Linked DNA regions of Drosophila melanogaster. The protein of the gene in region 3 purifies or fractionates together with the protein of the main gene of each other region. This does not show direct contact. Each region holds a gene or a part of one and is shown on either strand. Other genes may lie near its edges.

Region 1 (5,548 bases), on a different chromosome or scaffold from region 3:
ATTTATACCTACCCTTTAAAATTCTCTCAATGTTTGTTAGAATTTTCGCCAAATATATTTGTTTTGATGCAATTTTCAAATGAAATCTAGTGGATAGAGTATCTAGAAGTCACACAAAAGGCGTACTTATGAGTTTTTTCTGGCAAACCTCAGCATACTTATACTTCTCTTCTTTGTTTGAATAACGTTTTGGGTTCTGGTTGGGCTTTTTGGTGCAATAAGAGCAACTGAAGGATGGAAAGAAAAGCGTGCACTTTTCAAAAGTGGGCTTTTGTGTGGAAAGCGAGTCGAGGGGCTGGGATTCTGGTCAACTCACTAGCAAATCAAAAGCATTTCTAACCAACTTGCCAGCGAAGTTTGCACAGCGTGTTGGGCGCAGAAAGCGGCGCTAAAAGAACTCAGATTGAGTGCAAATAAAATGATGTCATGAAGTGGGTGGGCGGGCTAAAAGGCACGGAATGCATGCTCCACTTTATTTCAGCTATCAACTCGTAAAGTTTGCGGCTTGATGGCCTCCGGCAAAACGTCGGGTTTTCCCAGTGGGTGGAAATCTGTTCTTTTTTTCAGAGCTGCAGAGCTGAAAGAGACCACGGCAAAACTGCAATTACAAGTTGGAAGAGGAGGACTCAACTCAATGCGCAAATCTTGACAAGTATTTTGTCAACTTTGACTGCTGCCAGCTGGAAGCAAAGGCAGATGAAGTGCGAGCAACTTCAACCTCAAAGCAAAAGTGTTTAACTTTAAGTCCTGCCTTCTGCCTTTCTCTTCGGGGTCCTTTCATTTTTTTCCTTTTTGCCCCCATTTCGTCCCCATTTCACGGAATCGTCATGGAAACTGAAAGTGTCAGGGATTAGGTGATGCTGGAGTAGAGAGCCACTATCCACGTGGCTTTCAGGGGGATTTTAAGCCCAGGGGAATGGACGCAGACAAGGATTGTGTGGCCTTATAGGAGTTAAACATTTAATACGTGTACTGCCCAGTTATAAAAGTATAGATTCAACTGATTAGAGCACATTTGTAGAATAGATTTTAACATTTCTGCTTCTTTAACTACAATCGTAATGGTGATGTAAAGAAAAACTGTGTTGTTCCTAGAAGATGGATTACCAATTGCATTTAATCTGGGAAGTAAGTCAAACTGGAATTTTATATTATTTGCATTTATCACCATTTCATTAGCATACTTTGCTAATCTGGATAAATCAACCTTGGGCTTGAGTGCTGCCCAACAGCCCTCCCCTTTTCAGCTGCCTACTTTGACACTAATTAACTTGATTCAGTATTCGAGACTACTGCCATTGCCTACTGCCATCTGCAATTCAATTAAAAATTAACATTTTAATTGCAAATTACTTTCAGTATACTTTATGGGACGCAGGCACAGACACCGGCAGAGAAACTCCACTTAACTGGAGTAACTTCTTTCGCCTCTGCCACCTGCAGCCTGCCATTTCCGGAAACGGAAGTAGCAGGATGAAGAGGAAGAAGAAGAGGAGCCATTGGAACATCGGCTCATTGCGAGGCGTTTAATTCTATCATGCGCCAACAATTATGCAACTTGTTGGTTCACTGACTCAAATGGCCAGGCGGTTTTCAATTTGTTGCCAATAAAACTTTTTCCATTTCGGTTTCCTCTCAGTTGTTGCCACGTTGGCCTGGCGAAAAATGTTCGTCATAGTTTTGTTTTGTGAGTGGGCTGAAATAAAGGAAATTAAAAGTTCATTGCTGGTTTTCCGAGTGGAAACAATGCTGGGATAATCTCGATTTGGCGAACATGCTGTTCTTTGGCATTGTTCATTATTTGTTATATCTATTTGGATTACTCACATTTACTCTACGAATCTCAGCAAGTGTAATGGAAAAGATACCTGTACGTGAGTGATGAACCATTCCTTTGTTCACTTCGCTTTCCACTTAATAAATTCATGGATCCATTTGCTGTCAATTTGTTATTGATATCTCCGTTATGTCTGCATTTTTGCGACCGGGGGGAAACTGAAGGAGAAATGAAACTTAATCAAATGTGAAACTCTAGCGAGCACTTGATATGCATTTTCGTATTGAATTTCCCTTCCAGCTTCTATCGCACAATCGCTTTTATTCGAAAATTGCACGAACAAAATAATACCTGTGCTGTTTGCCGGAAGCTGAAGAAAAATGTATGTGAATGCTTTTCGGTTTTTTCAATTTAAAGCATTTAAGTTGCAAATATATATGTATCCACCTCTGCGGCTTCAATGCACAAATTCAAGTTAAAACCGCATGTGCAGTACTTTAATTGTATTATTGTTCACCATTTATCGCAATCCCTGCAGCGTTGGCTTCCTGTTAATTGCTTTGTAGACAAATTATAAAAAGCTCGACTTTGGCATTGTTTCGGCGGCATTCTGGAACACTTCAAAAGCAGACGAAACCACGGCGTAACCATGACCATGACTATGACTCTTTGCCCGCAAAAACAACCTAGAAACGTATAACTCTTTTTTTTCCCCCGACCAGCTGGGTCAGTTTTAATTTAACTTTGACATGCATCAGCTAAAAAATCCAATTACAAACACAAATGTAAACAGAGATAGTAGAGAGAGAGAGAGAGAGGACATGGAAAAAGGACCTTATTTTTTTTGGTCGAAAGACTAGAAAACCCATTAACGCGTTTTTGCCCTCCATAAAGATGAAGATTTATAAAGCCATTAATTTGGCCCAAGCGGCGAAAAAATGTATACAAAATTTGTGAGTGAGTGTGTGAGTGAAAAGTGCTGAGCCCATGGAAGCTGCAGTGAAACCCTAGAAATGTCCAGTCAGGCAGGAAAACTGCGTCCGGGTTCCTCAACCAAGCCCGATCGCAATGCGAATGAGGAGAACCAACTGGGCGCCAAGCCCAAGAGCCAAAGAACGGACAATCATCATCAGAATCAACCGAAGATGTTGCCACATCCCAACTACATGGAACTGGAGTTCCTTGCCACGGATCCCACGGCATCGGCGCAGAGTACGGCCTATCCGGACTTACCAGTTAGCTATGCCACCTGTTTGGTGGGTCCACCACCGTACAGGGATCCGCTGCCTCCCACACCACCGCCCCTCTCCCAAATGCCATCGAGGCTGCTCCACTCGGCCCCCAATACGCCCAGTCGTGGCAAGGTGGTGCTCAGCAAGAAGGAGCGCAAGGAGCTCAGCAAGCAGCTGGGAATCGACGAATCCTCGATCCTGAGCAGCAGTGCCCAGTCGAGTCCCTACAAAGGACGTGTGAGTGAGCTGAAGAACTGCATAGCTCGTGGCCTGTTTGCCACCCTTCATAGGGGCTCACAGAAGTCGCTGCAGCAGCAGGAGGAAAGGCCCATCAGTCAGGAGATATCCCCGCCTCCTCCAGCTCCAGAATCAGCCAATAATAATGAAGATGTGGCGGATTACTCCGAAAAGCTAAGGAATCTACCAGTGAGACAGCGCAAGGCTGCCACCTCGCACATGGAGAACTACTGTCTCTTTGATCCCGTGGACTTTATCAACGAGAAAGCCATGAGATATCCCAGTACTCAAGCCCACGGATTGAGGGATCCCCTTTTCAGCTCAAGACAGCACTTGGTCTGCGAGGATGAAGATGAACTGGTGCCAGAAGTAATATACGATAACGAGGAGCTCGAGTTGGAGGAGACTATTATCATAGAGACTTCAGCTATGCCAGAAGCGGAATCAGAAGCAGAACCGACTGCCAAAAATTCAGAGACCATGTCTAGTTTTGATCACCACAACTACTTTATTATAGACCCAGCGAACTTTCCCATGGACATCGGCATACCTAATCCCTATACCAACGAGCAGCTGGTGAATGCCAAGTTGGAGCAACAGAACCTGGAGAAGCTCTTCAACGAACTGGAGAACACTGCCAGCATGTCGAACAGCCAGGAGTCCAAAGATACGGAGACCACATCCACGGCCCTCGTAGAATCATCCACCTCAACGAACTCAGCAAGTTCCGCGGGCAGCTGTTCCCTGGCCAATCCCGCCCAGCAATCGATGAAGAAAAAGCTGACATTTCTGAATCTTTCGCCCTTTCGCAGTGGCAAAAAGTCTATCGACAAAAATACTTCTGAGCAGCAACGTGCCATTTCCGAGCTGGTCAGCACGGATCACATGTTGCACCTGCAACAGTTGTTGCAGCAACAGCGAAAGGATCAGCGTTCGCACACGGTTCCAACGGAGTCCAACTATGTGCTCTTCAACCCGGGCCCAGTGCCTAGTCGACATGTCCAGTACAAGATACGCAAACCACGACCTCTATCAACCCACAGCGATGCGGATAGTGGTTTCCTATCGCCCTGCTCCCCCGAAGAAATGCGTGCGAATCCGGCCATTTTGGTGCTTCAGCAGTGCGACAGTGTTCAGGGATATATGGAGGTAAGTCTGTGAATATTTAATGATATAAATATATAAAATATCACCATGACATACAAAAAGAAGAAGCTTAATAGAAGCATCTGTTAGGTTAATGGAGAAAAAAACCGAAAACCTAAACCACTTCTTATTTTAAACAGAACTTTTGTGCTTCAGCTTACAAAGTAAAATTCAATTTTTATCCAGACATTTTTCGAAGACTTTCAAGAAGAAAGAAAACCTTTTCCCAAAAAATACAAATCATTTATCTTTGTTAGCTTTGATGGCTTGTCCTGACAAAAGGGAACTTTATTATTACCTATGCAAATCTGGGTTTTAATGCTAAGATGCAGCCCGAAAAGTGCCACAATAATGTTCAGCTCGGTGGGGCTCACCAGCAAATGGCTTATTTTGGTGAAGCTCTTATGACCCTCTCAATATTGCAGTGCATGTGGCTAGGTTTCATACATTTCCTACATAATCCTCTTACCGTAATGTGAATCGCCGCATTAACCATTGGAAGGAACCCCACGCAGCATCTTATCTATATGGATAATTTCGCATATCTTAAGCCGGTAATCATTGCGGGCTGTTTCCGTAGTCGCACTTGTCGCCATTTGCCGGCTCACTTATCTTAACGAGCGAGCAACTTAACAAGTCTTATTATGCATCTTCAAACACCCCAGGGGAGGTGTTGGCTTACCCCTCGAAGGACCATTTTCGGAAAAACCCACCCGCAAAGGCGATGAACAAATGTCACCCCCAACGGCCGAGTCCTCGAGTATAAATTATCAAAAAAAGAGAAGAACGAGTCACGGAATTGCAGTTTGGAGGCAGTGCACTGCAGATGATTCCCAAAATCGAGGGCTTTTGAGAGCAGTTCCTGCTGGATTGCATCTGGCTTTCCCATTTTCCCCCGCCCTTCGCTCTTCGCTCTTGTTTTCCTCGTTGCCTCGGGGGAGCAATCAATCGTCGCGTTTTCACTGCTCGCTTCATTAGTTTTCCCTACCGCCAAACATTAGTTTGATTGTGTGCCCAAGTGAGGGACAGGTTGCAAGAGAAGAGAAAAGCAAAACCCAGAAGGAAACAACAAAAACACACACCAGCTGCGAATGTATGTTCAATCTTAGCGACTTTTAATGGAATTGAATTAAAATTGTTGCCATGGTGCCGAGTT
Region 2 (4,119 bases), on a different chromosome or scaffold from region 3:
ACGAAGTCACTCACTCACAATAGGCGATTTGACGTCAAAATGTTATTCAACCCAGACTATCAAATTCTATTATTTCAATAAGAAGATTAGTTGTCACAAAAAAAAGAAACAAATTAATAATGCTGTTAATTAGATGGTTAGACTTTTGTAAAAGGTGACAATCTAACTATATTTTTAATATAAAGGAGCAGATTTTGATTGAATACATTTCAACTATGAATTAATTTTTTTATTTTTTGCAAATAATATTTAAGTTATATATCCATTGCTGCAAAGTGAATGGAGAAAAACGAAAGTGCCAATGTAAGAACATAGCATTGATTAGACCACTTCAGCCGATCCGCCCAAAGTTTCCACTCAACGTAAGTTGTGCGATCACTTCGCCAATGCCAAGGCTATGCAAGTACATACATCTGAATTATGCAACGCCTGATGTTAATTTCTGTAAGCTAATTTATCACTAAGCAAACACAACAATGGCGGAGTCCGTTCAGCGGCAAAGTAAGCCACGCCAATGCACAAAAACTTGTCCCTACGTATACGTAATGCAAGTAATTGCGTATACGCCGCATGTAACACATGAACGGTGGACAGTCACGATGAAAGTTGGCTGATAAGCCTCCCAATCAAAAGCAAAACAATTAGATGCGATGCCCACTCCATCCCTCACAAACGGCCAAGGACTCGTGCAGCCCGACACATCCTCTTAACGTGGCCAAGTAGACTCATTTCCAACAACGCGACATGCGCCGGCGAAGTGTGCGATATCCTGGAGGGTCGCGTGTTTGAAATGCTGGCTGCGTGCTGGCAACGTGTGCGAATCCTTCTATTGAAGCGGCGCATTATGAAATGGTTCCATCGGATTGGTTGGCATCGTTTGATAATTTTTTATTGCGGGTATTTGAAATACATCTAGTCAAAGCAATCGCATAGGAAGAAATTGATTTCAAACTATGTTAACTGTGCAGGATATACGAATCTAGACACCACTGTGCTCCTTGATCCAATCCCGTGCGAAACTTACTCTTGAGTAGACACCCGGATAGTCGGGCTTAGCGCAACCGTAGCCCCAGCTAACCACGCCCACCAGCTCGCCCGATTCACTGACCATCGGACCGCCGGAATCGCCTTGGCACGCATCCTTTCCGCCTTCCAGAAATCCAGCACAGATCATTCGCTCGGTGACGCCGCCGTACTGTTTGTACTTCTCGCTGCAAAGCTCCTGATTGACCAGAGGCACCTCCACCTGACGCAGCCACTCGCGGGACTCCAGCAGGTTCTGGGTGTTGCCCCAACCACTCACGAAGCAAGCTTCCCCGTCCATGTATTTCATCTGAGACTCGGGCAGCTTGACCGCCTTTTTGGTCTCGTCAAACTTGATGGGATGAGCTAGCTGAAGCAGCGAGAAATCGTAGTCCACATTGGTGTAGTTGAACTGGGCGTGCTGCACGATCTTCTGCACCCGCAGAAGTTGGCCACTGCGAGCAAATTCGCTGGTTCCGAGTCGCACTTTCAGGCGATCTGCCGTTTTACCACTACGAAATCAGGAGGAATCATTTTTGGCATACTCTCTAGAGAAGATTCCTTGAGCGGCTTACTTACTATGTGCAATGGGCGGCAGTCAATATCCACTCCTCGGATATAATAGAACCGCCGCAAATATGGGACGAAGTCTGCAGCGAAACCTGATGTGGTGCATCGGTGATGTTGATGCGGTGACCGCCCACAATACGGCCATCCAGGCGGGGTGATAGCTTCCAGGGATTCTTTATAACATCCTCAAGCGATCGCTGCCTCTTAACGGGCTGTGGTATTAAACAAACGCCAGCCAGAACCAACAGGCTGCACTGCAGCAGTACAAACAAGCGGAGAGCCAACATGGTTGTTTAACATAAACCGAAGGTATTCAATGGCCTAAGGCAGAGTAAAACCTTATATAGGAATGCTTTTCTTGGATTAGTGATAGCCACCCAGTGGGTAGAAGACCCGCTGTGCCATCACTGCGCAGCTTATCCACCAGCTGACACACAAAATGCTCGGAACACATTCATTTCGGGGTGGCATTGGACACACTCTCATTTAAGAAGTCACTTGGTTTCCTCGATGTTTCAGAATAAAGTCGTTATCTTTCAGTTAGCATTCAATTGTTTAATTGGGTCACTTGTAATGCCCCATGAAACAGTCATTGTAAAAGGTTTCAAGTTCAGTCGGAGTCACATAAGGTAACTTAAATGGTTCAGCAGCTAACTTAGGAATATATCGTATACCATAATCTATCGTAAGTTAAATTGGGCACAACCAACTCACAGTACATTTTAATAGCCATTATTTGTGTTTTACAACATTTTAATTTCATTCTATGAATAAGTTAGTTTGGCTTGTGATGCCGTTTTGACCTAATCCACCACATAGATCAGATTCCTTCCCACTTCGGTCAGTTTTCCAGCCTGCTCCAGGCTCACTTTCTTGTTCTCCACATCCAGAACGAAGTTTCCCTCGCCGAGTACAGACTTTCCTGCTTTGTAATCCTCAAAGTTGGGAATTTTTCGGGGTCCCAGAACGGGATCCTCATACCGCCAGATCTTAAGGGTAGCCGCATCCGTTTTAAGTCCAATAATCTTGGAGAGCTTCTCTCGCAGAGATTGGACCGTGTCTCCCTCGGATATGACAGTGTTGACCTGGAAAAGCGACGAGCGCTCGATAGGATTCGTGAGCTCAACGCTCACATTTGGGGCCACTGAAAAGCTGATGAAGGGAGAGCCGGGACGCACTTCTTCACGAGTTTTCTCCGGCGCTGACGGATCATCGGTGTACTTAATTTCCAAGACATCAAGCTGAAAATAAACCAAACGTTAATTTGAGTTGCTAACTCATCAAGCAATAGAAACTACTTACATCCAGTGTGTTCTTCAGGTACTCCAAATTGCTGATCAACACCTGACGCTCATCGAACTCCAAAGTCACGGCCAATGCAGCCACACCCTTGCCGGACTCCACCTTTTCGCGAATCATCTGGGCAAAGGGCATCACTCGTTTCATGAACTTCTTTAACTCGGCCTTTTGCTGCAGTGTAGCAGCGATGACTTTGTTATCTGGAAGGGCCTGCGATTTGTTAAACAACTCCTTCATGGTATCGAGGACACAGCACTGCCAAGGAGGATAGGTCTTGGCGACCCAAACGAGCCCTCGATTCGGTTTCGCTGCCTGGACATTCACAGATTTATCTTTTCCGGCCTTGCCCTTGATTTGCAGCAAGTTCTTGAGGTTCAGACGGAACGAGTGAGCGGCTTCCATGAGGTACTCCGAGCACAGGATATCGACTTCGTTGATGGCTCCCACTTCTGGCCACCGAGCATGAACAATGGACTCCTTGTTACCCAGCAGTCCCCAGACATGCTCCGCCATATGGGGGCAAATAGGGGATACCAAAAGAGCTTGTCTGCGAATGAACTCCAGAACCAGATCTTCATGCATTCCATTTGCGCCACACAGCTCCCTGTACTTGTCCCTGGCCAACTGCAGTTCGTAGAAGCCACTCCTTAGAGCCTCCTTGAACAACATCTTTCGGTAATTCTCATCGGTTTGCTGCGTTTTCAAATTGAGTTCACTCAGGAAAACTTGATCGTTGAAGGTTTTATCAGTGCCCTTTCTCAGACTGCTCCTGTTTTCCAACATCTCTTTGACCCACTCAATGAAAGTGTATAGACGCAGAATACCAGCATCCGCAGTGCTCTCCACGAAATTGGCATCCTCCACACTGTCGCCGGCATCAGCTAAACAAAGGCGCATGCCATCCGCAGAGAATTTGTCCACAGCTTCGGTCAGAGTTAGGAAGTTTCCGTCCGATTTGGACATCTTGGCAGAATTCAGCAGCAGATGACCATTGACACGCATTCCTTTGGGCCACTTGTTTTCATCATTAGGCCAAATGGCAGCGTGATTGTAAAGGCAGAAGGTCAAGTGGTTCTGGATAAGATCTTTGCCAGAAACACGGAGATCCATTGGATACCAGTACTCAAACTCGCGTCGCAGAACTGCCAGATGTTCCTGTTTAATGGCCGTCTTTTTTGGCAGTGGGGTTTCCTTAAAGAAAATATAGTCCCAGATTTCGCCAGTCAT
Region 3 (5,447 bases):
AGGCTTGGAGGAAAATGAATTTAAAATCTATTGCAGAGAACTTTTATTATATGGAGCTTGTGCGTGACAATCTTATAGAGCATATGGACAGACGGACATAGCTAGATTTAAACGGCTAGTGGTTCCTGAACAAGAATACAAGCGCCTGAATCTGTTATTCTGTTATATACTTGTGTTTAAGATACAGTAAAATACTTTTCAATTAAAACAATAGCGATATTCACGGAAACAAGTAGAACAAAAACTTAATGAGACAAAATAATCATAGTTAACAACCAAATGTATAACTATTTTCAGGATAACGCCTTTTGCTAACAAATAAAGTACTTATTAATTTCAAATTTTTAACAAGCTAAGTATGTATGTATCTTATTTCGGCTACCTGAGATGGCGGTGACAAATATAAAGCTGGAATCAAAGAGCAAAGTCCGACTGAGCCGCTGACCAGAAAGCCACCCACTTGCCGCCCCCAAAACCCACATACGACCCACCGAGTCACGAGTCCAATCTCCCAAAAACACCAGGCAGCAATCCAATGCACCTACCATTAATTGCTTTGGGCGTTGGTATGCCGGCCAGTTTGGCAGTCGGACAATGGCATTTGGGTTAGAGTGCTCCGCGCTGCAATCACGACCCCATTGTGACCTTTAGCAATTTCTGCGCCGACTACCAATGTCTGCCTGCCTCAGCTGCCACGCCCCCTAATTAAGGCAATGGCCGTACACCCACTGTGGGCGCGAGAAATTGTTAATTAAATATCAGTTGCAGCTACTCCTGGCTCTACGCTTTGTTGCGTGCTGGCTAATGACATGTTTATTGAGATTTCGTATCTAGCGGCTATTTAATATTTAGTCGGAATCTGATCCGGAATAGACCAAACGCGTGGGCTTGCGGATAGCACCTCCGATCGGGAGATCGTCTTCGGAACTCGATTGCTTTCCTTCCTCCTGGGAATTGGGTGAGCTCCAAGAAGCATCATCGTCCATATGATCTTCGGTATCTTCCTCGCTGCGCATTGGTTCATTCGTAACCTCCAATGCAGAGCTTGTCTCGCAATCTGCACCCTCACCGTCGTCCTCTTCGAATGCCCCTGCGTTTTTGGCCACATTGTGATCGGAGCCTTGATAGTGCCTGTCACGTTTCGGAGGATGATTCTTCATAAGCGCGCGATTCTTTTCACGACCCTCCTGGCGAAGCTTGGACAATTCCTCCTTCATGCGCCGATCATGATCGTGCTCGGGATTGGAGCCCATGTTCGTTATCACCTTAACGCACCCAGACTGTGGCTTATTCGTGGCTCGATTACGCAAGGCCTGGACATGACTCTGTCCGAAATTGGAGTCCAGCATGGGACGCACAGTCAACTTATTCTGGATCAAACCCTGAGGCTGGTAGAAGCTGCCCAGGCGAACATACAAATGGTTCTGGTTAACGGTCACCGGGTGATGCATCATATCGAAAACCTCGTTGCCCACATGAAAGGTTTCGCTGCCATCGGACCAACGAACAATTTTCGCATTGGACTCCTTGGTTTTGTTTTCGTTCTCGCGCCACCTAACAGTTGCCTTTAGACGATTTATGAAATCCTCGCGTGACTGTTCGTCCTTCAAATCATTCTTAGTCATGCGATCCTGAAAGGTTTCAGGCACGTATGCCTTGGATTCCACGGGTATGAAATAAGGCATCTTCAGAAACTGCGATGGACCTTTTAGAAGTCCACAATTTTGGGTTGTTATGGTGGTCTGGAACTTAACTGCTACATCTTTTTCAAAAGGTTTGCGTTGTTCTTCTATATCAAGAACTTGCGACTCCTTATCACCATTTACCTCTCCATTCATTCCATTTCCATTTTGATTCTTTGCATTATCACCGTAATCGAAATTTAAATCGAGACTATCAGAAGAGGCATACGACAAGACATCGGATTCCTTTTCATCTGAACTATATCGCAATTGGGACAACCTTTTTTCAATGTTGTAATTTTTTCCATTTGATTCATACTCTGTATTTGAGCTGGGACCTAATGGCACAGGATTGACCCTGGGTTTTAAAATATTACCTTCGGATGATGTCGGTGGAAATGAAGAACATTGCAATGGGAGCAATTCTTTTTCCATTGTATTACTTTTATTTATTGGGGTCGATGTAGAATGTTGCTTCGAGAGTAGGTCTTGTTCCATCTCATCAATCAATCCATTTGCTACTTCATTCGAGCTTGGAAAATTGGAAATAGAAACTGTCCCAGGGGACAATATGTTGCCCTCGTTAGAGAGCTGTTGATTATTATCTTCGTCAATGATTGTATTGAAATTGTCTTTAAGTTCTATGAGGGAAGTTGATTTTCTGATGTTAGAGACTGTTTCAGAGTCGACACTTCCCTGGTCATCACTTTCTGAAAAGCTCGGAATGCCGCCAACCTGTCCCGCAGAAGTTGTGGTTTCATTTGAGATATTTGAAGAAGATTTCGGGTTGCTCCAGTTAATAGATTTCGGTTCTGGAGCACATAATAATGATGATGAAAGCGAAGATGAAGTCGAAAACGAAGACGATTCTCCTGAATCTGGTGGACTTCCGGAGCTGGATTCAGAGGTCCAGCTTGAATTGGATGTGGAAATATATGGTCGTTCGCTTTTCGATGATGTCTTGGCGTTCAGATCAGATCGAGATTCAAGAGGTCCCTGCGATTCAGGAACACTATTTGCTGTTGAGTGAAAAGAATGTGAACGGCTTTGGTGCTGCCTTCGTGCCTTAGTTTTATTTCCTTGTTGATCAACGCTGGAGAAAGAGGGATTCGGGCTCCTGGAAAAGCCATATGGGATTACTAAGTTCTGCAGAATATATGTACCTAAACCAACCTCCTATTGAATGCAGGCCAGCTTTCGGAAGATTCACCATCTAAAGTAAAAGCGTAGATAATAATTCAATTTTTATTAATATTCTATAGACTACAAACCTTTTATTACTTGATTGTCGTGCAAATTGGGGTCAGCCATTTTTAGCGTAAGGCGAAGAGTTAGTGGAACACAATTTCTTCACAAGCAGCACAGAAAAAAAACTATATGGTTTTTTACGTAATGACAGCCGAGCCAAGTGACTGATTTATCGATTGTTTGACAGAGTTGTCTGGGCAAGAGTTGTCAGCTTTTCTAACAATCAGTGTTGTTCCCCTACTGTTTTAATTGGTTTAAAACTGTTGGAATATACTATTCAACCTACAAAAATAACGTTAAACAACACTACTTTATATTTGATATGAATGGCCACACCTTTTATGCCATAAAACATATTGTAAGAGAATACCACTCTTTTTATTCCTTCTTTCCTTCTTGTACGTTTTTTGCTGTGAGTAGGTCGTGGTGCTGGTGTTGCAGTTGAAATAACTTAAAATATAAATCATAAAACTCAAACATAAACTTGACTATTTATTTATTTATTAAGAAAGGAAATATAAATTATAAATTACAACAGGTTATGGGCCCAGTCCATGCCTAATAAACAATTAAATTGTGAATTAAAGATTGTGAAAATAAATTGTGAAATAGCATTTTTTCACATTCTTGTGAAATAGCTTTTTTTTTCACATTCTTGTGAAATTATTTCCTTCTCAGAATTTGAGTGAAAAATGGACAAGGCTAAACGTAATATTAAGCCGTTTGATGGCGAGAAGTACGCGATTTGGAAATTTAGAATTAGGGCTCTTTTAGCCGAGCAAGATGTGCTTAAAGTAGTTGATGGTTTAATGCCTAACGAGGTAGATGACTCCTGGAAAAAGGCAGAGCGTTGTGCAAAAAGTACAATAATAGAGTACCTAAGCGACTCGTTTTTAAATTTCGCAACAAGCGACATTACGGCGCGTCAGATTCTTGAGAATTTGGACGCCGTTTATGAACGAAAAAGTTTGGCGTCGCAACTGGCGCTGCGAAAACGTTTGCTTTCTCTGAAGCTATCAAGTGAGATGTCACTATTAAGCCATTTTCATATTTTTGACGAACTTATAAGTGAATTGTTGGCAGCTGGTGCAAAAATAGAAGAGATGGATAAAATTTCTCATCTACTGATCACATTGCCTTCGTGTTACGATGGAATTATTACAGCGATAGAGACATTATCTGAAGAAAATTTGACATTGGCGTTTGTGAAAAATAGATTGCTGGATCAAGAAATTAAAATTAAAAATGACCACAACGATACAAGCAAGAAAGTTATGAACGCGATCGTGCACAACAATAATAACACTTATAAAAATAATTTGTTTAAAAATCGGGTAACTAAACCAAAGAAAATATTCAAGGGAAATTCAAAGTATAAAGTCAAGTGTCACCACTGTGGCAGAGAAGGCCACATTAAAAAAGATTGTTTCCATTATAAAAGAATATTAAATAATAAAAATAAAGAAAATGAAAAACAAGTTCAAACTGCAACATCACACGGCATTGCGTTTATGGTAAAAGAAGTGAATAATACTTCAGTGATGGACAACTGCGGGTTTGTCCTTGATTCTGGTGCTAGTGACCATCTTATAAATGATGAGTCGCTGTATACCGACAGTGTGGAGGTTGTGCCTCCACTTAAGATTGCAGTGGCCAAGCAAGGCGAATTTATTTATGCCACTAAGCGTGGTATTGTCCGACTACGGAATGACCATGAGATTACACTGGAGGATGTACTCTTTTGTAAGGAAGCTGCTGGTAATTTGATGTCCGTAAAGCGTCTCCAAGAGGCAGGAATGTCGATCGAATTTGACAAAAGCGGTGTAACCATTTCGAAAAATGGGTTAATGGTTGTCAAAAATTCAGGTATGTTAAACAATGTACCTGTGATCAATTTTCAAGCATATTCTATAAATGCTAAGCATAAAAATAATTTTCGTTTATGGCATGAGAGGTTTGGCCATATAAGCGATGGCAAATTATTAGAAATAAAACGAAAGAATATGTTTAGTGATCAAAGTCTTCTAAACAACTTAGAGTTATCATGTGAAATTTGTGAACCCTGTTTAAATGGTAAACAGGCAAGACTTCCTTTTAAACAATTGAAAGATAAGACCCATATTAAAAGACCACTTTTTGTAGTACACTCAGATGTCTGTGGGCCTATTACTCCAGTTACTTTAGATGATAAAAATTATTTTGTGATCTTTGTTGATCAGTTTACACATTATTGTGTAACTTATTTAATTAAATATAAATCTGATGTGTTTAGCATGTTTCAAGATTTTGTAGCCAAGAGTGAAGCTCATTTTAATTTAAAGGTTGTGTACTTATACATTGACAATGGTAGAGAATACTTGTCAAATGAGATGAGACAATTTTGTGTTAAGAAAGGAATTTCTTATCACTTAACAGTGCCACATACACCTCAGTTAAATGGTGTTTCTGAGAGAATGATAAGAACCATTACGGAAAAAGCTCGAACCATGGTTAGTGGTGCAAAGCTAGATAAAAGCT

The links.
Region 1: the proteins of CG10887 (region 3) and sick purify together in Drosophila melanogaster (affinity purification with mass spectrometry, with the first as the bait; one large-scale study listed by BioGRID). This does not show direct contact.
Region 2: the proteins of CG10887 (region 3) and CG31954 purify together in Drosophila melanogaster (affinity purification with mass spectrometry, with the first as the bait; one large-scale study listed by BioGRID). This does not show direct contact.

Annotation. Positions count from the first base shown.
Region 1 is NT_033779.5:19,824,484-19,830,031, forward strand, and holds the start of sick (sickie), read left to right. Parts: upstream 1-1,990; 5' UTR 1,991-2,790; coding exon 2,791-4,395; intron 4,396-5,548.
Region 2 is NT_033779.5:3,508,193-3,512,311, forward strand, and holds CG31954 (uncharacterized protein), read right to left. Parts: upstream 1,911-4,119; 5' UTR 1,881-1,910; coding exon 1,603-1,880; intron 1,536-1,602; coding exon 980-1,535; 3' UTR 866-979; downstream 1-865. Other genes in the region: LeuRS (Leucyl-tRNA synthetase), read right to left, coding at 2,397-2,834, 2,896-4,119.
Region 3 is NT_033777.3:20,112,485-20,117,931, reverse strand, and holds CG10887 (uncharacterized protein), read right to left. Parts: upstream 3,095-5,447; 5' UTR 2,994-3,094; coding exon 2,954-2,993; intron 2,896-2,953; coding exon 2,856-2,895; intron 2,800-2,855; coding exon 849-2,799; 3' UTR 793-848; downstream 1-792.